4 linked regions of the Tamandua tetradactyla genome follow. The protein of the gene in region 2 binds, or shares a complex with, the protein of the main gene of each other region. Links are inferred from orthologs where the notes say so. Each region holds a gene or a part of one and is shown on either strand. Other genes may lie near its edges.

Region 1 (7,202 bases), on a different chromosome or scaffold from region 2:
AGCTCTCACATATCATGAAACTGACCTAAGATAGTACAAGATAATCAGGACTTTAATTTTACTGACAATGTAACAATGCCAGGGATGGGGAGAAGAGACCTCAGCAGAGGTATAAAAGTATAGACTTACCTTCATCTGAAGCATCATGATGCTGCTCACCCACCAAAGCGGGAAAAAGTAAATGTTAAAATAAATTGACATCTGCAGTGCCAAACTGGAGACCATTTCATTATCTACAGAAAAAACACAGAGAAAAGGGACATGCTCCAAATCCTGATCTATGGCCTGCAAGTCCTTTCATTCCTTAGAATTGAAAACCACGGTATTGGTTCAACAAAACTCCAAATTTTACGCCTATTTATAGCCATTGATGGTGAAAGGAATTTCACCATCTATTTGGGAGTGTGTTTCATATTTCTCAATTACTTTCTCACTTTGTCATTATGGTCTGCTGACTCGTTTGCACAATGCTGGTGTAGATTTAATGTGGAATTTCAATACTTGTCATTGAACAGATAATAATAACATTTTACAGCATATGTAGGGTTCTATATAAACAGCCTATAAAAGGAATACATAAGAATACATAAAAACTAGTTTCATATAATCTGTCCAAGTTATAGACGCATCCCCTTTTCAGTATATCCTAATCCCACCCATTCTTTAACACCCAGTTCAATGTCCCCTTTTCCATAAATCCTTCCTTGATCATGATTCCTCACCTGAGTAGAAATTCCCCCCCAGAGGTACTTATTCTCAATTGTGGATGAAAAGTATTAGCAAAGAACCACACTCATTCCATCTCACTTCACTAGGCCCCAATTTAAGAGTAGAAATTATAGTTTGAAATCAACTGCTATAAATGTAGGAATTTACAAAGGTTCCAAAATAATTTCTTGAAAACAGATTATTTTTTATTTCTCCACATCTGAGTAGTTTCAGCATCATTTAGTAATTTATTTAAATAAATAATCATAATCTTTCACAGTAAGGTTTCCTTTCGCTTGAAGAATAAACCTGATTATTATGATCTACTTTTGCATACACAGATTTATTAAATCTTCACTGATAAATGAATGAATTCTTAAAGTCTTAAAATCATCAGCCTAGGATTTCTTCATAACAGTTCAACTCTTGGTTAGCTGTGGACATGGTAGTGATATAAACTTGAAAACATGGTACAAATAATCAAACCTACTTCAAATCCACAAAGAAGAAAATACGGAAAAAATAATGATAAACTGCTTAAGCTGAAAATTTTAGTACTTTTGGAACAGAGACAGCAGTCAAAATTTTGCAAAGAAAAGTTTTTGTTAGAAATTTTGTGCATGAACATCTTGAGTTATGCTATGTTCATATTTCAGCATATCAATTTTATAATCACACAATGGAAAATGAACCTCAGAAGCCCAAAACATCAATTTATTAAATTTACAAAAGTACAAGATGAATTTTGCAAACTGAATTTAAATTAAAACATTACAGAATATAAATCAGGAATAGGCAAACTTCTGGCCAGCTGCCTGTTATTTTAGGCAGCGAGTTAAGAATGGTTTTTCACATTTTTAAATGGTTGAAAAAAAAATTTCATGATAAATGAAAATCATATGAAATTCAAATTTCATTGTCCACACACAGATATTTTTTGGAACACAGCCATGCCCATTCATTTATTTATTTTCCATGGCTGCTACAGAAACTGGGTGGACTGTAAAGCCTAAAATTTGCTATCTGGACCTGTCCGGAAAAAGACTGCTGACCCTGATTGAAATCACTGCCTTGCAACATCAGATTTTAGGGTCTGTTAAGCCTGAGCTGTAGAATCAGAAACCTGAAAACCTAATTTTTCACATTATGTTTTTCTCTGTACATGCTAAATCAGAAAGAGGCCTAAAATTTGAGGACAGGCAAATGATCAAGGTGACAAAATGAACTATGGGTATCGACCTTGCTTTTCTCTCTTTTTTAAAAAAGTCCCTAAAATCAAGCAGAGGAAAAGACTTTGGTTTCTCAGCAGTGATGAAAACAGCAAAGGTTTGGTCGACAGGATGTTATCTATCATGACTTAGGAGAAAAAACTGTTTTGAATGAAACTGCGTTTTCACTTGTAATCATGTTAAATGTAGCATCGTGTTATTTTGTTACCGGATTTAGAGAAAGAGCTATATATAGGGAATGAGGAAAAGGCTGGGAAAGGGACCAGTTTTGAAGACCCTGCTAGTGTGGCAGCTGTCACTCTAGAGTGGATAGCGGTTTAAAATGACTCATAAAATTTTTTTTTCATCTCTCCTGCTGTAAAACGGACCTGTGAGGGAACATACTTGTTCTGCTAGGAAGTGAGAACAGGCAATATTTCACAGGGGCGGAGGAGAAGAGGTGGGCAGGTTGCTTGGATGGTTCTCCCTTACTCCCCATCTCCTCAAATCCCATCGAGGCCACAAAAGCCAGGCATACGCAGGAGAAAAAGCAACCACGGTCTTTGCGGAGGGCGCGGAAAGGGACGTGCGCAACTATGGCGGCTTTTAAATTTAATTAAAAAATGTTTAGTCTCCTTCCAGGCAGCGCTGAGCCTCACGGTGCAAAGGCCCTTGCCAACATAGGCGCCGCAATGTGTGGGTCAGGCGCAGCGCGACCAGATCAGGATCAAACCCGGGTTCCGGCCCAAACCCCAGCTCCTGCCCCGCCTCTCCTCCAAGGCGCTGTCGGTACCGCAGAGAACCAGCTGAAGGCGAAACCGCCATTTTAGGTCCGGGCAAACTGGGCGCTCCAAAACCTGCGCCAGGCCTACTGCGGGCCACACCCCCTTCCTGGGCCCAGGCCACTCACCCGGACCCTCGTTCTCCGGCCCAGTTCGGTTTGAGTCGCTGAACATAGTCCGGCTGAAATTTCCCAGCCGCTGGCGGACGGGGTCTGGAAGCTCCATGCCTGGCCCTCGGTACCCCTGGCCCTCACAGACACAGCTTGGTCTGTGGGCGCAGCCGCGCTCGGCGGTTCCCACGGCAACCGGGAGGCGCGAGGCTCCGCAGGGCCGCACTGCGGAGCGCGGAGTGCGGGGTGCGGGGCCGAGCCGCGTGCCTGCAGCAGGGATGCGCGCGCCGGGCCTCATCCATTCCCCGGGAGCCCAGGCCTCAGCTGTGTACAAAACGGCAGCTACTCTCGTCCTGTGTAAACCCCGCCATCCTTAATGACCTGGGATTGGATTGTGATGCAAGGGAGCAGAGCCTTCACACCTTGTCAGTGAAGAGTGTAATTCGGCGCGTCCTTTCCGGAGGGAAATGTAGAATGGATGCAGTGCTTAAAGAACGTTCATGGCCCACTAGTGCCTCAATCTATATACAAAATAGCGTTGCACACCATATTTTTTTTGTAAGTGTAAAGCAAACTATAAATTACTAAAATATATAACAATAGGGAACTGATTAAATGTATTAGAGCACATGCATTCAGTGGAATAACATTGTAACATTTAAGCATGCTTGCAAAAAATATTTGATGATATGGATTTTGTTTTAAAAGCAGAAGTAAAATAAAAAAATATGAATCTAATTTAGCAAAATGTGCGTGTAAGTATGTGGGGACAGGGAGTGGGAGGAGAGAGTACGTGGACCAAATTTAACAGTAGCTGTCTCTAAATAATGGGATTGTGGGTGATTTAAATTTCCTTTTTAAAACATTTCTGTATTTTCCAGCTTTCTCTCAAATAAGATGTATGATTTAAAAAACAAAGCATGTTTAGTTGAAATGTACGTATAGACGAGGGCACAAACTGAGTATACATCTATTACTGGCACGCAGATCAAACAGTACCTTTACAGCACTCCCAGAAGCCCCGCTTCTTGCTCCCTCTTAGTCCAGCTCTCAACTAGGAACTCTCCTGACTTCTAGTAACACAGATTAGCTTTGCCTATTTTCATACTTTATATAAATATAAAGTATATATCTATGTGTGGAATTACTGGGTCTTAAGGTAGAATCCAGTTTTAGTAGTTATACCAATTTCTACTGACTCCAGCAGTGTTTGTTTCTTCCCTCTATTAATTTATAGTCGTTCTGATGGGTATATGGTAAACAGTATTATTTTTATGAGCAAAAGGAAGCTATACATACTTTTTTAAACGTCAAGAAGATAGTATGGGAAGAAATTGCTTCATGGCTAGAATTTTAATATAATTCAATAAGTGTTTACTGAATTTCTTCTGAGTTTTCATGCATCGAACTAGGTAAATTAGGGTTGTAGTTCCTCCCCTCAGGAAGCTCAGCTAGTGAGAGAGACATGGAAACAAATAAGCAAAATACACTGTTAAGTGCTCTAACCAAGGGATACTGATGAGGAAGCAATTAATTCTGCCAGGGACTTGGGGATATCAGTGAAAAACTGGCTAACTTCTGCTGCGTTTCGGGATGGAGCTCAGGCTTTACCATCTCTAAAAAGGCTTCCAAGATCCTATGCTTACTTTGTACAGGGTGTTTGTCATACTGAACTATAATTGTCTGTTTATATGGCTGTCCCTCTTATTGGTCCACAAGCTCTTTGATGGCAGGATGGGCTTTTGTTTTTCTCTTTATATCCCCAACACTAGCCCTGTGTCTGGCCTATAGTGGGAGCTGGATGACTGTTTAGTCAATAAATGGGAATAAAAGATCTAATGATCAGTCCAGTATCTTCCCATTTCTAGTTCAAGGATTTAGCCAGCCCTTCTTTAAGGTCCTCTCTATAGAATGAAGAACTGGCATATTAAAAGGCAGTTAATTATGACAAAAAAAAATACAAATAGCAACAAAGAATCACTTTGAATCTATTTAATTAATCAAGATTTTTATTTTAAAAAGCAGGAAGTCTAATATCCTGCTGATTGAGTTATACTTGAGCAACCCCCATTTAGAAGAACAATCAATAATATATATAAATAGACAAACATTTTCATGCCCTTTCACACCATAATCCAACTTTTAAGTATCTATTTGGGAAATAATCATTGAAAGTAATCAATTTTTAGTTATATACCAAGATGTTATTTCCTTCATTGATATTAGCCATAAAAAAAAAAAAAAAAGAGGAGAGCAGGATTTAAAGTGCCTAGATGAAAGGTCTTTTTATGCAGAGTATGATACTTGTAGTGAGGAGCTGGGCTGTAATGGGAGAAATGCCCCTGGAATTACAGCAGGGTCCAAGTCCCCTAAAATTCTCACTCTGCCATCTAATAGCTGTGTGATTGATTTCCGACCCTTGTTTTGTAAAATGAGACTAATTATATCCTACTGCTATGGTTGATGTGAAGATTATATCATTCAATAAAGCTCCCTATAAATGCTAGCTATCATTACACATTTTTTCAAATGATGTTTAGGAAGAAGAAACACCTACAGTGGAGTCAACTCATGCCAGCAGTTAGTTTTCTGAATTCAACTATACCTGTTAAGCAATACCTCTATTGCTTCCCTATTAAAGACACTGGATGCAATCAACAATAAAACAGCTTATGCATGTTAACCAAATTTGTCAAAAGCCTGAGTGAATTCTTTTAAAGATTTTTTGCTAGCATTAAAAAAAAAAAAAGAAGTGAAACATTGATGTAACTATTTCATTAAAATCCTAGAGGAAGAAAAGAATGAAGTTATGGCTATTTTTCCTTCTAATTTTATTTATTATCTTAATTTTCTTAATGAGCATATGTTTCACAGGAAAAAGCAAATTTTGTTAAGAAATAAATTAGAAAATAATTTTCCTTCTACAATGATTTGCGGTCTTCCTTTCCAATCTGGTACAGGAAGAATGGCTCCTGCAAAGAAAGGTGGTGAGAAGAAGGGCTGTTGTGCCATCAAAGAGGTGGTGAGGGAGGGTACCAGAAACATTCACAAGTGTATCCACAGAGTGGGCTTCAAGAACATGCCCCTTGGGCTCTCAAAGAGTTTAGGAAATTTGCCAGGAAAAGGAGATGGGAACGCCAGATGTGCACATTGACTCCAGGCTCAACAAAGCTGTTGGGCCAAAGGAGAAAGGAACGTCCCAAACGGTATTTATGTACAGTTGTCCAGAAAACTAATGAGAGTGAAGAGTCACCAAACAAGCTCTAGATGGTGTTTACTATGCTCCTGTCATCACTTTCAAAACCCTACAATCAATGTGGATGAAGACTAATAGCTGATTTTCAAATAAAATCACAAAATAACTGCCAAAACTAAGTACATGAAGAAAAAGAAGGAGTGATGGTGCAAAAATATCTTAGAGAAAAGAGCTTTGAGAGAAAAAAATTGTGGATTGGAAAAAATTCTGTCATCCTTCATGTGGCAAATGGTCCAAAGGGCACGACAAACTCTCCAAATATCTTGTTTGTTGATCCTCGCAATAAAGTATTTATAGGCAATCACATTAGTGAAATACTGAAGAATAGGGGGACAAATGCACTTTCATGAATTAAGAGAGGGGTATAATTTGGCTTTCTTGTACTCTGGACATATTACTAACACAGGAGCTAAAGAGAAAAGAATGGAACTGCCATTCTTAGAACCAGGGGAGTCATTCCTGGCACGATTAATAAATAACCCTAAAATTTAGGGTGAAACTGTTTACTTCCTATACCAATGTTGATGCTCAAATACCCATTTCTCCATTAGTTTTTAAATGTATTCATTGGGGCTTAACTGCATTTATGGTTCGCTTTGTTAAATATTTATTTTCACAAAAAATTCAAGGCTATTGCAATGGTTTGTTTCCCCTTGACAAGAGGCAAAGGTATCAAGTATTACTACTCTATGCAACAAGAAATTAATTTGGAGAGTTATTCAAATTACTCCTTGATATAATAAAGATAAATTATTTCTACTTGATGCTAATAAAAAATTTAGGAGGAAAAATATTTTTGAATGAACATCATTGAATTTATTGCCTTAAAATGAACTGAGCCATTTCTCAGAATTTAGGTCATTTTAAAGATAAATTGTAATTTGTGTAGAATAAAGATATTCTGATTCCACATCAGTACTCATATTAGAAAATATTATTCTAAATTACTAGAAATATAATCTTATGATCCTCAAATTGTTAATGGATAATCAAAACCTTTTTGAAACCCTAGTACAATATATTCTGTTCTCAGCACTTCAAAAAGGTGTATAAGAAAGAGTTAGACTATGAATTACATAGAAAGTTAAATCTCGTGAAAAGAACTTTTCATACTATTTTAAGTGATATTTCAAGGCTG
Region 2 (7,200 bases):
TCTCCTTTGCAGGCAAAAGTTTCATAGAGGCAAACCCCAAGATCAAGGGCTCAGCCTACTGAATTTGTTGTCCCCACTGCTTGCAAGAATATCAGGAATTCCCCAGATGGGGAAGTTTATTATTTCTTCCTTTCTCTCCAGTCCCTCAAGGGGACTCTGCAAATACTTTTTTATTCTCTGCCCAAATTATTCTGGGATATATCAGGGCATTGCATAACCCCTATACAAACCAGTAAGATCTCATGTCTAAGGCATATTTTTACATCTGTTGATGGTAACTCAAAACTCTTAATGGCTCCTTGTTGTTGTTAGCATAAAATAAGGTCTTAAGATAGCCTATCCCAAACCATTCACCAATGTGCTATATTCTCTACACACTTTCTGCAGCTGTTTCCTTAAATGCAAAGAATAAGCACACTCCTATTTCTTGTCTTTAATTACGGTAATTTCTCAGCTCTAGAATCTCTTTACCATTTTACCATTCCCCATTCACTTATCTAAAACTATTGTCAGACCTGATCCTGCATGAAGTCTTCAAAGTTTTCTCAAACCTCTTAGATCTCTCCTCCTTTTATCTACAACTATAGCAGTTATTGCCTGCATTATTCATTAGGACCTCCGTATATACCAAAACGTATTATTTATTTCTAAATAAACCCATTCTGCTTCCCCTACACATTCTTCTAGGAACTTTAGAGCAGGAACTAGCAATGCTTTGCACACTAAGGGCTCTCTTCAGCCACATTTTTTATTTTTTTTTATTTTTTTTATTTTTTATTTTTATTTTTTTATTAACGGAAAGAAAAAAAAAAAAAGAAATTAACGCAACATTTAGAAATCATACCATTCTACATATGCACTCAGTAATTCTTAACATCATCACATAGATGCATGATCATTGTTTCTTAGTACATTTGCATCGGTTTAGAGGAACTAGCAACACAACAGAAAAAGATATAAAATGTTAATATAAAGAAAAGAAATAAAAGTAGTAGTAATAGTAAAAAACAACAACAACAAACAAACCAACAAGCAAACAAAAACAAAAAAATCCCTATAGCTCAGATGCAGCTTCATTCAGTATTTTAACATGATTACTTTACAATTAGGTATTATTGTGCTGTCCATTTTTGAGTTTTTGTATCTAGTCCTGTTGCACAGTCTGTATCCCTTCAGCTTCAATTACCCATTGTCTTACCCTGTTTCTAACTCCTGCTGAACTCTGTTACCAAGGACATATTTCAAGTTTATTCTCGAATGTCCGTTCATATCAGTGGGACCATACAGTATTTGTCCTTTAGTTTTTGGCTGGATTCACTCAGCATAATATTCTCTAGGTCCATCCATGTTATTACATGGTTCATAAGTTTATCTTGTCTTAAAGCTGCATAATATTCCATCGTATGTATATACCACAGTTTGTTTAGCCACTCTTCTGTTGATGGAGATTTTGGCTGTTTCCATCTCTCTGCAATTGTAAATAACGCTGCTATAAACACTGGTGTGCAAATGCCCGTTTGTGTCTTTGCCCTTAAGTCCTTTGAGTAGATACCTAGCAATGGTATTGCTGGGTCGTATGGCAATTCTATATTCAGCTTTTTGAGGAACCGCCAAACTGCCTTCCACAGTGGTTGCACCCTTTGACATTCCCACCACATTTTAATATATCTCACTTTTTGAGTGTTGATTCAGATTTTACAAAGTACTTAGGCAGAGATTACTTATTTCAGATAAGAAGAGATTCTTAAATGCTTTCTAATAGTTTAATAATAAAATCTACTGCATACAAACCTTCATTAGTGACTGAGTAACTCTGAAAAGATGTATCACATTTTCTTGATTTTCATTTTTTAGTTCATTTACTTCCACCTATGTAAACAAAAAGCAACTATTTAACCAAACTATAAGAACGCTTCCAGTTCTACTACAAAATGATTTCAGGAGCAAAGATTTAATCATGGTTCTATGTATATATTAAGCACCTTGGATAGTGAAATCAATAAATTATCTGCCAATTCTTCTTGACGAGGCAGGTCATCTGGGTCAATTTTCATAATTTCTTTCCAGTTTATATTAGGTGGCATCTTGAATTCTTTCACTGTGCTTTACCTTCTATAATAAAACAAGTGTATATTAGCATTTCCAAGGTAAACAGTCTTGACTCATAACTCTCTGCGGTGTTAGTTATGGCTCCTTAATTGCAAAAGAAGTAAATGGGCAAAATAGCCTAACCAAGAACTGTAGCAGTCGGCCCAAACTGTCAGAAAAAAAAACAGTACCGAATAAATAAAATTCGACGGCTTCCTTGCTAAAAGAATCCAGGTTAGGCCTGAGATTCTGGATCCCCTTCCCGACAAACCCTGTCCTCAACACGCGCGCACATTTAATGGTGCCAAGAGCGGGGACACTTGAAAGGCTTAAAATGACTGACTCGGATAAGCAGCAACTACGGGTAAAAAAAAAAAAGTGCGGAAATAAACATTTGGACTGAGTGAAGTTGGCCTGGGAAACCAGGGCTGGAGCGCGGAAGGCAAGATTGCAGAGAGACTAAAAGCGGCGGAGAAGCGGCGCTGTTAAATACAGGCCCTGTGAGGCTAAAGAACCCGCGTTTCACAACACTCCGACAGCTCTCAGGAAGAGCAACCCACCTAGATCAAAACAGGTAGCCAGCGAAGAACCCTCATCTACCGCACCCACCACGCCTAAGCCAGCCGCCGAGCTCTGACCACACCCCCAGCGCCGTTCCACTCGACGTCTAGGTCCGGCCAACTGGAACCATGCAGAGTAGCGGCGGTGGCTGCTAAGCGACGCCTTTCCCCACCCCGCAGACTCCGGAGCAAGGCCCCGGATGCAAGCAGAGCCTACATTTCACGACTGTGGATTAATGCTTTACGTTTAGATTCCCCGCCTATACGTGCTAAAGAAGAGGAGAAGGCATGCAATTAGGCCTCTAAATCCCAGAGCGCAGTTCTGCGCCGAGTCCTGTGCATGCTGGGAGCTGAAGCCGCTGGGAAAGGGAGGGTGGGTGTTCCCAGCGTGCAGTGCGGGAAGCTGCGCCCGAACCCGGGCAACCTGGATAATACTTAGACGCGGGAGGTACGGGGGCTGAGACGCGTCCACACTGGTGGCCTGAGCGAGTTAGGCCATGACTATGGCTTCAGTGGCCTCACTCGCTGGGCCCTTCTTCCTGCGCTTTCCCTAAGCGGCTATCGCTGTGGTACCTCTACCAGGTGAGGTTCGGCTGTCGGTCAGCGGAGGGAAAGGAATTGAGGGGAAGCTCCACGCACTGCGACCGAAGGGCCTGGCCCTGTTTTGAAGAGCTAGTAAGCGCCACCTTCTCCTCAGGCGTTTGCAAGAGGCGCCAGGGTGGTGCCCTCTGCGAGGAAAAAAGTTTTGTCCTTCTTTGGTATCAGAATCTATCTCCATATTGTGAAGTGGGGCCCGCGCAGCCCAGAGCGTGGTTTGGGGACCAGTGAAGAATTGAAAAGATGTGGTGGTCCTCCGATCTTGTCCGCTTTACCATTGCTCTCGCGGATTTAAGGATTCGATAAGTGCTAGGGTAGAGTGGAAAGAAGAGGTCCCTGCTGGGGGTGGGAGGTGGGTGTTGGAGAGAGAGAAGGGCCGCTAGGTTTGTCAAACCACTTGTTTGATTGCCGAGGGTACCTTCTATGGGAGGGCCTCTTCAGTTATTTACCGCACTTATTCGTGCGAGTTTTGAGCATCCTTCTGCTCCCCGCGATTCTGGAGTATGAGGGATTAGTGCTTGATACAGCACTAGGTAATTTAAGAAGCTGTAGACTTGAAATGTAAAATGACTTCCCAGCTGTGTGTGCCAGTGCGTCTCATCGTTACCATTTTTTTTTCCTTAGCTTTTCTTTCATTATTAATACGATAGTAAATTTTCCTTTTGAAAATAAAAGATTTCTTTTCAAACCACTCGTTTGAGTATTAAAAGTAGCCCAGGTGAAAATAAAAACGTTAACTTTGTGAAATAAATTTTAGAGACATGTGTTGGGTTTGTAGATACTATAATTTAGTCCTTTACTGAAAGATTATATGCCAAATACTGTGCATTATTTCATTTAATCTTCATAAAAATCCAGTGGGATGGGTTCTTAATACTGTACTCATTTTCCAGCTAAGTTAAGAAACTGCATCTTAGAGAGTTTAAGTACTCTGATCAAATCTAAGTAGGATAATTGAACATGGTTCTTTCTTTCTGGAGGACAAGGTCTTAACACCTACTCTAACTTCTCTGGGCACCAGTATTTGTAAAGGGCTGAGTGAATCAACTTTTCTATCTATGTTAAATATATCATATTCTAATTGAGACTTTATTTCGTCTGGACTTCAAATATTCTTCACATTCAATGTTTTTAATTCACAATTTACAGGGAAAGGAAGGGATGAAATTTAGTATTTACTTTGCTTATTACTGCATATTTATTTTTGTAAGAAGAATCTTTTTTATCATAATACCCTGTTTTCTACATAACTTTCATTGTAACTAGCTATTACTTGATATTTATTTTACTGATTTTGTTTTACTGTATTGGTCTTTTTTGTCCTTACCTTCCTTACCTTCTTATTCATATTTATATTACCAGCACGTGAAGGTGCCTGGCCTATGGTAAGTTTTATTCTCATTTTTCAGAAGTTAAAACAAATTCAGAGAAATTAAGTGATTTCCTAATAATTGGTGAAGCTAATATAACCCAGATCTCAATAATAATCCTGACTAAAAGCAAACTCGTGCATAAAATTTCATTCTTTAACCTGTTCTATTTTTGAGCTTGAACACTGTAATAGACACTGGAGATACTTTGTATCTCACTATGTAATTCTGAGGAAAATCGCTAATACTGTCCATTACTTTTCATCACATTTTGTGCATTATTCAGTTTCCACAAAGAGCAGGGATTAATGTGACCTTCTTTCAGAAACACTTGCCTAGACCTGCCTTCTTTTTTCTCTAGGGCTTTATGAACAGTTTTATCTGACCAAAATCTCTTTGCGAGATGGATTTGTCTTTTGTCATTGCTACCTCTGTTCTCTGAAGCAGTCAGCCAGTATTTCTTAGATGTTACTACTGTTCTCTTTTTGCTGCCTTATCATGTAAATAAGTGGTAGCTTACTTTTTCAGTGTCTAAAATAAAGCAGGAAATATATTCACTATGTATGGTTAATACTTTGTTTTTGCCTCATTCTCTTGGAGAGAGGTGTGTACAGCAAGCAGACACTTGTCTTCCTTCAACATGAGAAGACTGGAAAGGATAGTAGACGTCATAGCAGGCCAAACAAACTTACAAACTTTAGAAGTAGAACATAGAACGTTGTTGTTAAAGAAGATGGTACAGTCACCATGGAACCATTGAACTGGGAGGACTTCCCTTCATAGGCTAAATATTTCCAGATTCATTATTGCAGGTTTATTTTTTACACAATTGAACTGTTGGATCATTGGAAAGAGTGAGCACTCAGTACAATTTTGTTGCCAGAATTGTATTATAAGATGTGTTTGTATCTATGATGTAGGTTATAAGTTGTCTTTAGTTGCAGTCTGAAATTACTCTACAGCTCAGGTGAAAAAAAAACAACTGATAGAGCTGCCTTCTGCTGAAGTAGCTTTATGCTAAGAAATACTAGAAAGCTTGAGAAGAAATGTACTACCAATAAAATTTTTAAAAGATATAAATATCATGAAAAGGAATAATCCTGTTATATTTTCTCAGAATACATTAGAAGAAAAAGGAAAATTTTTAAAATGAGACATCAGTGATATAGAATATTGTTCTGAAATATCCAACCTCCTGATAATACATATTTCTAAAAACGAGAACTTAAAAGATAGAACAAAACTAATAAGGTATTTAAAAAAAAAAAACGAGAACTTAGAACAAAACTATTAAGTAAAACATAGGAAACTTGCATAATGAGAAACATTTTAGATTTGTATTTTTAAATATAATTACTGTGTTTTCAGTTGAAGCGTTTTGTTGCCAGGTGAAGGTATTTGGATTTATAATGTTTGTATACTGGCCAATGACACGGAAAAGCCAATCATAGCTGTAATAAAATATATAGTGACATCTCATTTTTGTAATGTAAGCAGATAAACCAAGCGACTCTCCAATCACACTATTTGCATATGTATGGGTATGCTTGTGAACATAGAAAAAAAAACCTCTAAATTCACAAAACAAACAATTGACAGTGATGTATTACATTTTTACAGTGTGACCCCCCAGGGAATCATGCTTCCCTCTATACTTAGTGTAACTAACCCCCCTCCCCTTAGCCTTCCAAACTCTACCTTTGCAGATTGTTCTTTCGGACAGAGACTAAGATGATTCTACATCTGAGCTCCTGAACATGAACTAGAATTAGCACTCCTTTTCTCATATTAAGCTGCCTTGGAGATTTTTTAAAATTCTGTCATTGGCAGTTTTATAACCTCCCCCACATTGATTCTGGATTTAAATTGCTTGGTTGAGAATAACAATGCATTAAGGAAGCAGAGGCCTGAAAGTTCCTGCATTGAAACTTGCCCTGTTGTTTTCCTGAGATCACCATTTAAAGAATCCCAGGCTAATTCCTAGATGATGGGGCCATGAGTAGCAGAGACTAGCCTTCCAGGCTGAGACTTCTACTCTTTAAATTGTTAGCCATAGTTGTTATCAGACAAAAGTGGTGGATTCGTTTGCCAGACGCAATCAGTAACCAATTCCTGAGACACTGGGGTTTCAAAGACAGAATTTATTTCTAGGCATGTAGTAGGTGAGCAGATGGCCTAGAGGCCTAAGATCTGTTTCCCTGAGTTTAGAGGGTTCAGGATTTTTAAGGAGTTTAGTGAGGGGAGATGCAGTCACTTTGGATAACAAGTTTAAAGCAGAAAAGGACACAATGTTATTTCAATAGGAGAACAGAAGTTGAAAGGAGAGAAGGCAGAACTATCACTTCAATACTAAAAGTATAAAAGTGTAAGCCAAAAGAAAGGGATACAAGTTATCTTTAATAGTTGAATCTAGGGAATATGATTTACAAATATCTAGGACTGAAGCTAGTTAATGGCTGACTACAAATTATCCATTAGCATTAGGGTCTTTGCCCTACAAGAAAATGACCAGAAAAAAAGAAGTAACAATTCTTAGTCACAAAGGTACAAGATAAGGGCTTTTTGCAATCATTTCAGATAGGGCA
Region 3 (6,901 bases), on a different chromosome or scaffold from region 2:
GTCAGACAGTATCTGTCCCTTTATGTCTGACTTATTTCACTCAACTTGATGTTTTCAAGGTTCATCCATGGTGTAGTATGTATCAGAACTTCATTTTTTACAGCAAAGTAATATTCCATTTTATGTATATACCACATTGCATTGTGTTTATCCATTCATGTATAGACGGACACTTGATGTTGCTTCCACCTCTTGGCAATTATGAAAAATGTCACTATGAACACCGATGTGCAAATATCTGCTCAAGTCCTTTCCCTCAATTCTTTGGGGTATATACCTAGAGGTGGGATTACTGGGTCAGAGTAATGCTATACGGAACTCTCTAAGGAATTGCCAAATTGTTTTCTACAGCAGCTACGCTATTTTACATTGCCACCAACAATGTACAAGGGTTCTTACTTCTCCGCATCTTCTCCAATACTTGTTATTTTCTGTTTTTTTAAGTAGTAGCCATTCCAGTGGGTGTGAAATGGTACTTGTGATTTTGATTTACATTTCCCTGATGGTTGATGACAATGAGCATCTCTTCATTTGCTTTTTGGTCATTTATATATCTTCTTTGGAGAAATGTCTGTTCAAGTCTTTTGTACATTAAACACAGTTGTCTTTTTGTTGTTGAGTTGTACGAGTTCTTTATATATTCTATATAAAGAATATATAGAATATTCAATACTTTCTCCCATTCTGTAGGTCATCATTTTACTTTCCTGATAAAATACTTTGATGTGCAAATGTTTTTAACTTCGATTAGGTTCCATTCATCTATTTTTTATTTTGTTGCCCATGTTTTTGGTGTAAAGTCAGATGGACATTTTTAATCACAAACATTTATATACAATCCAAATGCTGTGCAGCTGGATAAAATATGGGAAAATAACTTAGCCTCTCCTGTTATTTTCACATCATAATGATAAAGCCTGGGTAAAAGGAAGGGAGAAGGGGGCATTGTGAGAAAGATGAAAAAACCCAGATTCAAGAGGGTGTAACCTGACAGAAATGGATAATCCGTGAAATGAAAAGTTCGTTCCAATTTCCCTAAGGTTTACAAAATGTATCTGAGTTAACTTAACCTTCATTTTGACTTTGTAAGATGTCATAGATTGTTTTTAGGTCATCTACTGAGTGTTTGAGATTGGACAGAAAGAGGTGATGAGATTAGTTACCAAATCATGCAGCAGGTCTCAGTTGGAATCATGGAATATTTTACTTGAAGAGAATCTCAAAGGTCATATAATCATAAAGACAAAAATGTTAAAGTCATAGGGCACTTTATCAAATTCAATCAAACAGCCTAAAATTTCAAAACAGAAAATAGGACTAAGTGATTCACAGATATTAGAAATAAAAAGAAAATAGAGGTCTAGAAGAAAAGACTTCTTTCCCTTTTAAAAAAAAAAAATTAAAAAGTCCTGGACTTAGAAGTTATGTGATGAGAAGTTTCAAACTGTGTTGAAAAATACCGTTTTTTTTTTTTTTTTAAAGGAAGCATTTCATCAGTTATTAAAAACGGTCTAGAATTTCAGTCGGATGCTGGTCTAGTTTGCAGGTTGCCAGAATGTGATACCAGAAACGAAATCACTTTTAAAAAGGGGAATTTAATACGTTGCAAGTTTACAGTCCTAAAGCTGTGAAAATGTCCAAATTAAGGTACCAACAAGAGTTACCTTCATTCAAGAAAGGCCGATGAAGTTCGGGGTTTCTCTCTCAGTTGGAAGGGCACATGGTGACATCTGCTAGCTTTCTCTCCCAGCTTCTTGCTTCATGAGACCCCCCCAGGGGGTGTTTTCCTTTTTCATCTCCAAAGGTCTCTGGTTATGCAGACTCAGTCAGTTCTGGTGACTCCATTGATTCTGGTGGCTCTAAAGATTCTTCCAAAATGGTTTCCTCTTAAAGGGCTCTGGTAAGCAAACCCCACCCTGAATGAGTGGAAACGCATCTCCATGGAAACTATCTAATCAAAAGTTACCACCCACACTTGGGTGGGCCACATCTCCATGGAAACAATAATAAAAAAGATATCATTCAGCAATACTGAATGAGGATTAAAGGACATGGCTTTTCTAGGGTACACAACAGATTCAAAATGGCACAGATACTAAGGCAATAGTTGGCAGAAAAAAATTGGAAATATTTGTATTATAGATTTGAATGATCCAATGATATTTTATGTTTTTTTAAATTATATTTTTATTCACTTTCTCTGGAATGCCACAGGAAGGCCCTAACAATGTCACTTTGATAATTTAGCTTTGCTATATAAATTAAATATACCAGTATATATACTATTTCGGCATTCTTCTGAATGGGTAAACTGTGTTTCTTGAATAAATATCAGGATGTGTATAAGTATTTTCACATCTACATCTGAAATACAAGGAGAGTGTCAAAGGTATACCCACCATTCACAGGTTCAGGTACTTCTTTATAAATAATCCAGTTTACAACAGAAGGGCATCCTAATGTAATTGAAAAGTTAGGATTGAGAAATGATTATGATTACCAAATCATTATATAGATATTTCTTTTTACTTTCTAGTATATTAGAATAGACAGAGGAAATACCTGAAATTACTAATCCAGGTGTCTTATCTCTGATAATATTGTATAATGACAGTCTTTATCTTGTGATTATAAAATCCTTGTGACTGACTCTCACAACTGTGAGAGCTGTATCCCATTTTTCAACTTCAGAGTCTTATGATCACTAAAGACAGCCCCTAGTGTTTATGAATGAAGGGTCCTGAGTCAGCCCAGAACTAACCCATTCCAATTCCAAAGCTATGTTGATAGAGGAAGCTGGCTCTCACCAAAATGGGCCCGCCTGACATGTGCAGTAGCTTAGACTTCAACCTATTCATGACCTATACCTCATTATAATATTAAAAATCATGCCCCTCATCATATTAAGACCGCCATTTTGCTGACATACCTTCTTGACTAAGGATGTAATCAACCTGCACATGCTCAATAATTAGATTATCTCTAATTTTGTCATCTTGAGTCATTGTGCTTATTATCCTAAAACCTGACCATCCTTTGGGACCATAAAACCTTCAGAATTATTGCAATTCAGGAGACAGATTTTTAGCTAGGCCATGAGATCATCTATTTCGCACCTAACAATAATTTTTCTCTCTTTGAAATACCTCCCCCACCCCCCTACCCCCCACTCCCACCCCCGTCTCAGGAATTTATCATTTCAGCGCCTGGGGCAGAGAACCCACCACTTTTGACCGATATCACTAAGTCTTGTGTTCTCCTTACCATTTTGTAGAGTTATAGTAGATTGGGTTTGTTTTTTGTTTGTTTTTCTTTTAAGACTTAGAGATCAACCTACTCAAAAAAAAAAATCACCCTACTTAATTTTTGTCAGGTGTTTTTTTTCCGTCTGTGAAAATGTTGTGTTTATTTTCCCCTGTTACCACAAAAAGGTGGACAAACATTATTTGCGGACCCCTCTCGGGAAGCACCAAAACGACGGTGACGTGATCCTCACGCACCCCTTCAAAAGACCCGTATGTCGTCTCGTCAGAAATGCGGCTCCCAAATCTCCGCCCGCACACCGGCTGCGTCAAGACCTTTATTAAAAATACTGACTCTTGGCTGCCACTCTCTAGACCTACTGAATCAGAATCCCCTGGGCTGGAAATCCGCATATTTTAAATAGGCGCTAAGGTGGGGTTAGGAAACCATAACTAAACTTACAAGTGCCTTGTCTGGGCGGCTTCGCTCCGCCTCTGGGCCCCGCCCTGCGGACCCCACCCTTCCTCATCCCGGCTACCGTGGGCCTCGCCCCGCCCCCGCCCCTCCCTCGCCCCGCCCCAGCAGGTCTCCCGCCACCCTAGCTGCTTCACAGGCCCTTTCCCGTCATGCTCCGCGCCTGGCCCCTGCCGTTGCCAAGCAACGCGTGGGCCGCAGCGTCGGCCGCGGGGGGTTCAGCTGGGTGATGGGGCCGCGAGGCCTCTGGCCGCTCCTCCTCGTACTCCTGGGCTGCTGGGCCCCCGAGAGCGCCCGGGCCGGGGCCACCCCGGCGGTGACGACGGAGGTCCCCACCCTCACCCGGGCAGCTCCAGCGATCCTCGGAGCCTCTCGGTCGCCTGAGCCCATCGACACTCCCAGGGTTCCGGATCCCTCCTCCCGCTCCAGGCCCACCCCAGTCACGGATGGTGGGTACCTCGAGCCAATTCTTTGGGGTCCGGAGTGTTCCAGCTAGAAGGAGGTAACCTAGGGAAGAATGTAATAATACCAATGATAGCTAACTTTTATTGAACACTTACGTGTGCCAGATACTGCTCAGTGTTTTATAGGCATTGTTTAACATTTCCAACAACACTGATCCCCGTTTTATAAATAGGCTCGGAGAGCATAAGTGCGGAAAATCATATTTTTGAAAGTTCTTGCGGTGATACCGGACAAATTAATGCTCAAAGTAACACTGAGTGAGGCCGTGTAGCCAAAGATGAAATTTCATCAAGAAGATGCATTTAACTTTTTACTTACGTGAAAGAGAGATGCCGAAGGTTTAGCTTACTAAATGTGAAGTCGAGACCCTTGTCTGTTAATTTTTTTTTTTTTCAGAAAGTAGGTTTTTGTTCTTCCGTGGCCATTGGGCTTAGCCTCTGAAAGTCTGAGCCGGGAACAAAAGTTTAACATCAGATTTTATAGACAGGATGACACGTTAATGTCTCTTGATTTTTAATATGAAAACCCAGTTGGATGCAGGAAGATATGGGGTGAGGGGTTATGCCCCCTTCTTAGAAGTCATATTTAGGGATAGTTAGCATATATCTCAGAAAGCGACCCTCTAACCTGGGAGTTACACATTTAGTGAATATTTTATAATCTGATTTTCCACAGATGACTTCAGGGAGTGTCTATGACCTCCTGAAATTGAGTGCACAATTTTGCGACTGCATTTTTCTGGGGTGAGGGCCATAGTGGTCAGCAGATTCTCAAAGGGGTTTGTGATCTCAAAATGATAAAAATGTAAATCCTGTGTGCGGATTGGGAGTAACTGCAGTAGGTGTGCAATATATATATATATATCCTGTCTTAAGAGAAAAAGATTTTTACTTAAATAGGGTAAGACTTAATAACTAGAAAAGTCATCATTGACTGATGACTTTGAAGCGTAGGACTTAACTTTGGTTCCTGAACCATTATTTCTCCAGAAGCCCTCCTTTGATTATGAGTAGTATGTAAGAAAAAGTACAGTGAAATCCATTTGTTATTTGAATATATACACACAAAACTTTTGTATTTAAACAATTGATTTGATGAGTTAGTAAGGAAGTTAAATCAGTGATAAATTGAGACAGAAGACAGCAGACTAGTGAATGTCTGAAGTTCTCTAAAGCTTTTGGAACTGTGTTTTTTATGTAAGTAATCCATTTGCTAATGAATCTTGTCCCCAAGAAACTATTCTTGAATTATCATTAGTAGTGTTTGTATTCAGAACTGTTTTCCAGATGGAGGATGAATTTGTACTGATCTTCACCTTTTTAAAGGACCCCTCTTTACCTATCATTACTTGTGATGGTAATGATAACTTTCATTTATTAACTCTTTTTTCTTACATGGGCAGGCACCAGGAATCGAACCCGGGTCCTCTGGCATGGCAGGCAAGCATTCTTGCCTGCTGAGCCACCGTGGCCTGCCCCATTTATTAACTTTTATTAAGTGGCAGGCACTGTGCTAAGTATTTCACCTCCCATGTATCTCGTTTAATCCGCATAAAAACCCTGTGATGGGGATACTGTTACCCTCATTTTTTAGGTAGTTCAATTACTTGGTTAATTTAAGGTCATATGACTGGTAAGTGGTTGAGCAGGAAGGAAGTTGACCCACTATAGAGAACTGGACAGCTATTTGCAGAATGGGTCACAGGCAGTATTGGTGGAAGAGAAGAGTGGTAACTGTTCATCTTGAATCAGCTTGGTTCATTTGTACCCATTTGTCCTCTGCTCTACAAGCCAGGCTTGTAGATGTTAAGTGGTGTGTAAGAGCAGCCAAGTGCTGCTTAGACCCAGAGAGTCGTCAACAGATCCTTGTTGGCTGATTAAGTGCACTCACATCCTAGAGGGAGACACTTTTTTTCCTAAGTGGGATTGTTAATACTTCTCCTTTCTCTTTAGTAGTCCTGTAGCTCTTTTCCTTTTAAGTTTTGGAAAATAAAGCAGGATTATAATTTTAAATTCATAAGGCAGGGAAGCTGCATGTTCTTATTTACATTGGTTTGCACATCATTTTACAAAGCTAGAGAGAAGCACATAAATTTAAGGGGGAGAACTTTTGTGCCTTGGACTAGGAAAGGATTGTATTTATTGACAAAACATGGCACTTCCCCTCAATCACACATTTTTTTTTCCCATTGTGCCTTTTTGGGGACTGTTTTGTTTTTTTTTTTTAACTTTTTTTATTAATTAAAAAAATTAACAAACAAAACATTTAGATATCATTCCATTCTACATATACAATCAGTAATTCTTAATATCATCACATAGTTGCATATTCATCATTTCTTAGTACATTTGCATCGATTTAGAAAAAGAAATAAAAAGACAACAGAAAAAGAAATAAAATGATAATAGAGAAAAAAAAGACTATACATACCAAACCTCTTACCCCTCGCTTTCATTTACCACCATTTCAAACTGAATTTAACATTTGTTCCCCCTATTATTTATTTTTATGCCATATGTTCTACTCTTCTGTTGATATAGTAGCTAAAAGGAGCATCAGACATAAAGTTTTCACATTCACAGAGTCTCATTGTGAAAGCTATATCATTGTTCAATCATCATTAAGAAACATGACTACTGGAACACAGCACTACATTTTCAGGCAATTCCCTCCAGCCTCTCCACTACATCTTGAACAACAAGGTGATATCTACTTGATA
Region 4 (8,015 bases), on a different chromosome or scaffold from region 2:
TACGACCATGACCATGAATGGCTTCCCACTCCGTGCAAATTGCCCTCCTACCGTGGTGACAAGAAAGACTTCGACAGCCTTATGCGACACCGACGACACCACCATTTTACAGGAAATCAGAAGTGGGCATCTTGACCCACTACTCATTTAAGATTGTAAAAGACAACAGACACCGAATAATATCGGAGAAGAATCTATACGTTTCCGTATAACCAGAGTCACCCACAAGTAACAAACAAGTCGCACATAAAACTACATCGCCTCCTGCACGACATAACAGAACGAACAAACAAGTCCAAATCAAACCCCCACTAACCATACTATGATAACTCACTCCAAATTGAAAAAAAAAACAAAGACGTACCGCAAACTAACTAAAACGAAACAAAAAAACCCACAAGCGATCGTTAGGGGTATCAGATAGGAGCAACCAGGGTGTTGCAAGCCCTGATTACGCAGAACGCTAATCACGTATCATGCCAACTCCAATCATCACATATCCAATCTGCCCTCCCGAAAGAGGAACAGGTCAGGATTAACCCTCCTAACGATAAAACAAAAACCTCCTACCACGCTGCACTGTTTAAAAGATTCCGCTTTTACAGAGGGTGTGTATATAACGTCTAAGCCTAGTCAACCTAAAGGTGTTTAGGAACTTACATGAAATTTACATTTCTACTGCTACTTTTCTTTTACATTGTTCTCATACTGCCGGCTCACAGAAAAGGGATACACCAATTCCTCCCATACTGCTCCTTTCACCGCTGGGCGGCCGACCGCTCCCTTATTTACATAGCTCCACCCATCCCCTCCCGCCAAATGTCTACCGTAATAACTAAAATAAAACGGTAATTCTAGAAAAAATTGCTTTTCTCCAGTAATTTGACCATCCTCATTCTCTTCTGAAATTTTTATCATGTCTTGATCTTATTATAAAATATCTTTTATTATAAAGCACGAAATAAAACGCTAATAATCCTAGAATAGGGAGCTAATTACCACAATACACATCTTCCACCAGGTGCAGTTTCAGAGTGAGAAGCCTACGTCGTCTTCTTTCACGACCCGTGTACGGCCCCTTGCTCCTCCAGCCTTCGTTCCAACATTCTCGTCATGGAGGTGATCAGAAAGGCTTCTTTTTCAGCCCAAAGACAGCGACGAATAATGCCATTTCAGATACGGCTGGAACGGCGCTGGGGTGGGGCGGGGGGAGAAGGAGGGAGCAATTGGCGGTGGATTCAGGATCCCTTCCAATAAAAATACCCAAAATCCCAAACCAGAGACTCCACCCAAAGTGTAAGGAGTGGGGGGTGAAGAGACTTCAAAAGACCACAGGATGTTGAGTGGATCTGGTGTCTGACACCAGGGGGAATTGGCTGCACAGGGAAAACCTTCCTCCCACATCCCCAAATACTGGGTGCTATCGCACCTGCAGAAGACAAAAATGTACCAGTACGTTGTGCACTCCCAACGCTCGAATATGAAGAAGGACAGGGCCACGGATGCACTACAGTGTGCCCCGATGGCTTGGGAACACACCAAAGTCAAGGAAAACCTTTGGATGGATGGACAGGTAGTGATGGACTAGAAAAGGCCTGGGGTGGAGGTAGCGGCGGCTAGCACCTGCTCTCAAGTTAATCTCTTGCTCCCACCACTCTACAAGGGCCAGAGACAGCAGCCCTGTCTCCTGAGTTTTAAGACAGCCAGGTGAGTAGAAGCCAGAGGTAAGCCTGCACAGCTGGGACTCCAGGGTATCCCAACACATATCTAGGGGACAGCCTGGCCTTCAGAAAGTACCCCACACACCCCCAGACCACAGACAGAAATGCTCACAGCCCCTTGATACACTCTACTTGAAACATACTCCACCACCCTGCTCCTCCAGGCCCACAATTCAGCTATCAGGAGCCTTCTTTGAACCATGTTCTGCACTTCCTCTCTCTCTTCTGAGTTCCCATAGTGCTTTTTATATCTTTATGCACTCCCACAGCACAGTGCTATCCCACGGAATTAGAGATGTTTTTGTGTCTGCTTCCTCCTCACAGTAGAAAACTGTGTTTTACTCTCATTCTGGTTCTCTAGTGCCTTGTATATAGAAGAGGCTTAACAAATGTTTGCAGATTGTATTAAATGCCCCACATTGCCTAAGATCTGTCAACTGGAGAAATTCTGTTTGCCTGCCAGGCAGCCCTCTGTGCTAGTAAAGCCTGGTTAGAGGGGTCGTGATGGAATGGGCAGTGTAGGTAAGGTGTACAGGCAGAAAGGATACAGATGAGGCTCTGGGTGTTGTTGAACATGGAAACTCCTGAGAAAAAGCCGGCCAGCTCCACTGCAAAGAGGCCCAGGGTGACAGAGAGCGCTGCCACCAGCCTGCAGAGAGGAAGGGGGTTGACTCAGGACTTCTGGACTTCTAAGACCCCTCCACTTCCACCACCGCTTCATTTTGATCACCCGCCCCAAGAGCTCACTGAATGTCCTGATTCTCATACTCCTCGGGGGTGAACTTGAGAGGCAGGCAGGCCTGGATGTTGCTGTCCTGGGGAACCGCCATGGAGAGGAAGAGAAATATGAAAGAGAGGCGGGATGCGGAGCAGCCTGGGGAGTAGGGTACCGGCTCGGGGGTTGAAGCACCCAAGCAGGTAGTCCTGGGAAGGGGCGGGGCAGGACCGGGCGGGGCGGAGCGGGGCAGGACCGGGCGGGGCGGGGCTGGAAGGTGGGAGAGGAGCAGCGGTGGGTCTTACCCGAGACCAGAATAAAGTAATGACGACCACCATATGCGCCATGAGCGTCAGGAAGCGAGAGGGCACGAGCCCTGAGATCCGGCCCATGGTGCCCGAGGACAGGGGTACCGCCCCGAGCAGAGGCTGTAGTCTCTGAGGCTGGAAACTCTGGGCTGGCCACTAATAAAAAAGCCCCGCACGAGCGGACAAAAACTCTTCGGCCTCTTTACTCCCGCCGGCGCTGGCCCCGCCCAGTTGTCCTGGCAACGGCGTGAGCGGGCGCACCGCCCTGCTCGCTGGAAATCTCGCGAGAGCAGGGAAGTCTCGAGCCGCTCGAGTCCTCAAACTTCACCCACGTGAGGAAGCCTGATCCATTCCTCCGGAGGCAAGTCACCAACAACCTTGTTCGGTTTAGGGAGAGATTTGCAGAGTGCGAGAAACAGCCAGCTCTCTTGAAGAAAGATACGGATAAGAGGCGTGTTTCTATAAGAGAGTGGATGGCAGGGCCTGGAGAGGGGAGAGGCGGGTGGAGGAAGGGAATGGAACCGGCCCTGCGTCCTCAGGAGGCTCTGAGGTAGGGAGGCAGACTAAGCGCGCGATTTCCTCGGAGTGTCCGGCACCCCTCCTTCCCCTGGCAGTCCAAAGACCGCTCACTGTCGGCGACCTCACTGACGTTTGGGCCTCTAGGGGATCCTTGCAGATTTGGGAAAGCCCTCCCCGGAGTGCTGTTTTCTCACAAGGTCCCTGCCCACCTCCCAGCAGAACCCCCATTCCCATTTCTGCCTTTAAGCCTTGTTCTGGGCTACAAGCCCAAAAGGCCTTTCTAATGTCTTAATTCAACAGATATTTATTGGCCGCCTAGTAAGTACTAAGCATTGTACGGGCCCTAGGAGTACATTGGAGAACAAATGTTCCTACTTTCGTGCATTTATATTCTAATCAGGGACATCGACGGCAAACACACGGTAATAGGAAAACACTAGAATAATATGACCAAGGAAATGCACTTTGAAAGTGGGTCTTTTGTTCTTAAACATAATGTTAAACAAATATTTTAGGGAATTTGGCCAAAAGTGTGGCAAAATGCTTTCTCTCTTCCAGGCCCGCAAATTAATAAATGCGCTTCTTTTTTTTTTTTTTTAACTGTCTCTCACATGGTTTAGAAAATATTTATGTGCGTGTGTGTGTGTATGTGTTTGTCTATATAGAGAAAAACGGTAAAGCGAATGTGTTCTGGGTGAAGGCATGGGAATTCTTTGTACTGTTTTTTGCAACTTTTCTGTAAATCAAATTATTTTTAAACGAAAAGATTAAAACAGTAAGCCTCTTAAGTTTTCCTTTTGAGTCTTACACAGTATTATAATTGAGACATTAAATTGCTTTATAAAAAAAGAAGGAATGATATCTCGGATTTGAGAGCCGTTAAATGTTGCTTTCCTATATACTGAAGCTATGTAATGGCATTTTCATAGAAACTACCTCTTTAGTGAGCAGCACTAAATTAGCTTTTATCCCCATAAATGGAAAATTTTTTAGATTTTTCTGAGCACTTAGTTTTACAAAGGGAGATATTTAGCAAAGTCCTTTTATTTTCTACTCAAGGTAACAAATCAAATATTGCTTACACTGGTCTCCACTCACAGGTTTGTAGGGGAGGTTCTCTCCTTAACTGTTACCATTTCTAAGTTCTGCAAGTATTTCCAAACCTCCCCTCATCTCAGGGTGAACAGGAAAAATCAAGTACTGTAAACACAACTGTTTGTCTCCCTTGAGGTAACCCTTTGCTATTTGACTCCTAAAATGAATGATCCTGATGACCCCACAATGAGAAGTGGTTCCTGTATTCTCCAGCACAGATATTACAGCGTCACAAGTGTGCAAATAGCGTAGAAAAGATGTCAGGACGTTTTTCTTCCCTTCACTGTAACTGACATGCATTTTCTCCTGAAAGTTCAGGCCTTCAGAGCCAAGCTTCCCCAGTGACAGTTGCAAAATTGACTCCTCACAGATGTTGGAAGCTCTGTTGTAAGGCCTAAGCGACAAAAGGTCCAGGATATGGTATTTGCAAAATCTTCAAAGTCCCCTGGAACAAAGGGAATGAAGAAAAGGAGTCAGCCATGTAAAGCTCTGGGGAAGGAGCCTTTCAGACTGAGGGACCAGCAAGTGTAAAGATCTTCAGAATGGATCAAGCCCAGCGAACAGAAAGGAAGCCAGTATGTCTGAAGGCTAGTAATGGAAGGGTAAGAGAAGAGAAGGGTGGGGTTGGAGAGGTGGACAAGGGCAAAAGCCAGTTCATGTCACGCCTTGCAGCTACGGAGAGGGGCATCAATGGATGTGTATTTCAGATGTCTCTGTTTGCAATGTGGGGAATAGACTTTAAGGGAGTAAGACTATAAGCAGAAGGCTAGTGAGGATGCGGTAGAAGTGTCCAGGAGGGAGTATGATGGGGCTTGGACTAGGGAGAAGGCAAAAAGTGGAGAAACAGAGGGAATCAAGAGCTGTATAGAATATAAGAAAGTTTGGATGTGGGGGCTTTGGGCAGGTGAGAAAAGAGAACAGTCAAGGGTAACTGTAAGATTTTAGGCTCCAGCAGCTGGAAGTTTGGGGTGTTTTGCTTACAATACGCTTCCTGCCTAGAGGCTCTATTAGAAAGTCAGAATTGAACAGTCACGTTCCCTATTGTAAATCAATAAATACTAAACGGACATTGTAGGTATGCATCATTTTCTGTGACCTGGGTTCACAGAAGCCTACCCTAGATAGATGAAGCCATCGCTAGCGTTTTCACAAAAGTGAGTTTTAAAGATAATCTGCAACCTTAGAAGGGCCTGCTAGTTAACCAGGTGTCCTCCAGTTAGCCCTCCAGGGCTACAGTCCACAAGTCCTAACAATGAACTGGAAATACAAGAACTTAAAAAAATTTTTTTTGATTCCCAGCCCATGTACCCCAAAACAAAACTTTTTTATAATGGAAAATTTCAAACATGTATAGTATAATATGTTTATATAAAGAGAATAAGGTAATGAACCCTTCTGAATCCATCCTCCTGCTCCAAAAATTGTCAACACATGGCCAGCCTTATTTCATCTATTCCACACCACTCAGTTATTTTGAAGCAAATCCCAGATATCATCAAATAGTCCATACTGGCCTACTGTCTCATACACACACACACACACACACACATATATATATATAATTTTTTGTTTTTGTTTATTTTTTAGAGCAGTTGTAGGTTTACAGAAAAATTAGGCAGAAAGTAGAGTTTCCATATATTCCCCCCAATGGTTTTCCTTATTATTAACACTTTGCATTGGTGTGGTAATTTTGTTATAATTGATGAACCAATATTATAATTACACTATTAACTAATCTCCATAGTTTAGGCTTCACTTGTTATGTTGTATATAGTTCTATGGATTTTTCTTTAAGTTGTGATAACATATATACAATATAAAATTTCCCATTTTAGCCACTTTCAAGGACACCATTCAGCATTGTAATTATATTCATAGTGTGTTAATATCGCCACCATTCATAACCAAAACTTCTTTATCACCCCAAATAGAAACCTCCTACCCATTAAACCTTAACTTCACATTCCCTACCCCTTCCTTTGGTAACCTGTATTCTAGTTCATGACTCTTAATTTGCATATTCTAATTATTTCATGTGTGAGATCATGCAATATTTTTAGTTTTGTGTCTGTCTTATTTCACTCATACCTTTTTTTTTTTTTTTTTACGGTTAGTTTGCTCAAATCAAGATCGAAGTAAAGTCCAGACATTGCATTTGATTGATATGACTCTTAAATCTCTCTTTTTTGGGGGGTGGGATGGGGTGGGGGCAGGAGCCGGGTTACATGGGCCAGAAATCGAATCTCTTTCCCAGGCATGGTCTTAAATCTCGTTTAATCTTACGTTTTCCTCTTCCTCTTTTTATTTTCTTGCAATTTATTTTTTGAAGAAACTGGGCCATTTTGTGGGCTGTATTCTTGTGCTGTCATTTAACATATTCTTAAAACCCTGTAAACTGTCTAATGTTTGGCTCTTCAGTCTTAGGTTCAATTTCTAGTGAAAATACATCCTGGTTGTGGTACTTCCTATTCCATCACATCAGGATGGCTGCTTGTCTTTTTCTGGTGTTAGGATTGAGCACTGGGTTCAGTTGCAGTCAGACTGATGATGCAGTCATTATAAATTTGCCATCATTTTTTCACCTCATGATTCAAGCATCCATTGGCCATCATGTTACCAGAGAAAGGCAGTGGATTATCTTGTCTGACGCACTCAATAACCAGTTCCTGAGACAGCTGGGTTTCAGAGAGAAAAGAGTTTCTACTGGGCATATAGTAGGAGAACAGATGGCCTGGTGACCCAAAATCTATCTACCCAAGTTTAGGGAGGTTCAAGGTTTTTAAGGACTTTAGCAAGGGGAGATGTGGTCATTTCGAGTAGCAAGTTCAAAGCAGAAAAGGAGACAATGTTATCAATATTTCCATAGAAGAATATAAATTGAAAGGAAAGGAGGCAGGCTAACGACTTCAGTACAAAAAGTGTAAGCCAAAAGAAATGGAGACAAGTTATCTTTCAATAGCAGAATCTAGCTAATAGGATGTACAAATATCAGGAGCTGAAGCTAGTTAATGGCTGACTTCAAATTCTTCATTAGCATTAGGACCTTTGCCTTATAACTAAATGACCAGATAAAGGGCGTAACAGCTTTTAGAGTTACGAAGTCACAAGGTGAAGGCTTTTACAATAATTTCAGATGCCATGACAGCTGGATTATAATTAAGAGATTTCAGGAATTTCCCTCTGTCTACTCCAATATACCAGAAAGCAAAAAGGAATATCTGTATAACGATTCAGTAATCAAAATCATCCCTTAAATCCTAATTTCTCAATTATAATCACCAAGCTCCATTGTTTCATTAGAAATTGCAAAATGGAAATGTTCTAATTCCATCATTCCTCCTGCATATCAGCTGGGATTCTTCTATAAATGAGAAGGTGCCCTCATCAACGTGCTGTTTACCCTGAGATACAGGTCATATGGCTAAGGCAGGATAAAGTGTTATTCTCCCCTCTTTATTTACTAAATTTCTGAATAATTAATTGATTCCTTAAAAGCATCCTCCAAAGTTGACTAATTCGTTGTTTTCAGTACCATTGTGAGCTTATGAGTCTTAACTTCTTTTGTCTGTTTCAATCCATTGCAGTTTTTCTTTCTGATGCTCAAATTGTTCCAATTTTGGCCAGCCTGAGCCTCTTCAAGTTGTCTCCTGCCTTTTT

What was found.
Region 1: CEP290 (region 2) and TMEM17 share a complex: the UniProt entries of both Homo sapiens proteins name them as parts of the tectonic-like complex. The link is inferred for Tamandua tetradactyla from reciprocal best matches to the Homo sapiens genes CEP290 and TMEM17.
Region 3: CEP290 (region 2) and TCTN1 share a complex: the UniProt entries of both Homo sapiens proteins name them as parts of the tectonic-like complex. The link is inferred for Tamandua tetradactyla from reciprocal best matches to the Homo sapiens genes CEP290 and TCTN1.
Region 4: CEP290 (region 2) and TMEM107 share a complex: the UniProt entries of both Homo sapiens proteins name them as parts of the tectonic-like complex. The link is inferred for Tamandua tetradactyla from reciprocal best matches to the Homo sapiens genes CEP290 and TMEM107.

Annotation. Positions count from the first base shown.
Region 1 is NC_135343.1:35,276,365-35,283,566, forward strand, and holds the start of TMEM17 (transmembrane protein 17), read right to left. Parts: upstream 3,010-7,202; 5' UTR 2,924-3,009; coding exon 2,827-2,923; intron 234-2,826; coding exon 130-233; intron 1-129. UniProt on the Homo sapiens protein: Transmembrane component of the tectonic-like complex, a complex localized at the transition zone of primary cilia and acting as a barrier that prevents diffusion of transmembrane proteins between the cilia and plasma membranes.
Region 2 is NC_135333.1:157,258,694-157,265,893, forward strand, and holds the start of CEP290 (centrosomal protein of 290 kDa), read right to left. Parts: upstream 3,005-7,200; 5' UTR 2,649-3,004; intron 2,113-2,648; exon of another isoform or gene 2,110-2,112; 5' UTR 2,085-2,109; coding exon 1,983-2,084; intron 1,870-1,982; coding exon 1,792-1,869; intron 1-1,791. UniProt on the Homo sapiens protein: Involved in early and late steps in cilia formation. Its association with CCP110 is required for inhibition of primary cilia formation by CCP110.
Region 3 is NC_135331.1:11,363,408-11,370,308, forward strand, and holds the start of TCTN1 (tectonic-1), read left to right. Parts: upstream 1-3,888; 5' UTR 3,889-3,946; coding exon 3,947-4,166; intron 4,167-6,901. UniProt on the Homo sapiens protein: Component of the tectonic-like complex, a complex localized at the transition zone of primary cilia and acting as a barrier that prevents diffusion of transmembrane proteins between the cilia and plasma membranes.
Region 4 is NC_135332.1:62,012,670-62,020,684, forward strand, and holds TMEM107 (transmembrane protein 107), read right to left. Parts: upstream 3,009-8,015; 5' UTR 2,829-3,008; coding exon 2,742-2,828; intron 2,537-2,741; coding exon 2,469-2,536; intron 2,371-2,468; coding exon 2,270-2,370; intron 1,527-2,269; coding exon 1,430-1,526; intron 1,194-1,429; coding exon 1,124-1,193; 3' UTR 396-1,123; downstream 1-395. UniProt on the Homo sapiens protein: Plays a role in cilia formation and embryonic patterning. Requires for normal Sonic hedgehog (Shh) signaling in the neural tube and acts in combination with GLI2 and GLI3 to pattern ventral and intermediate neuronal cell types.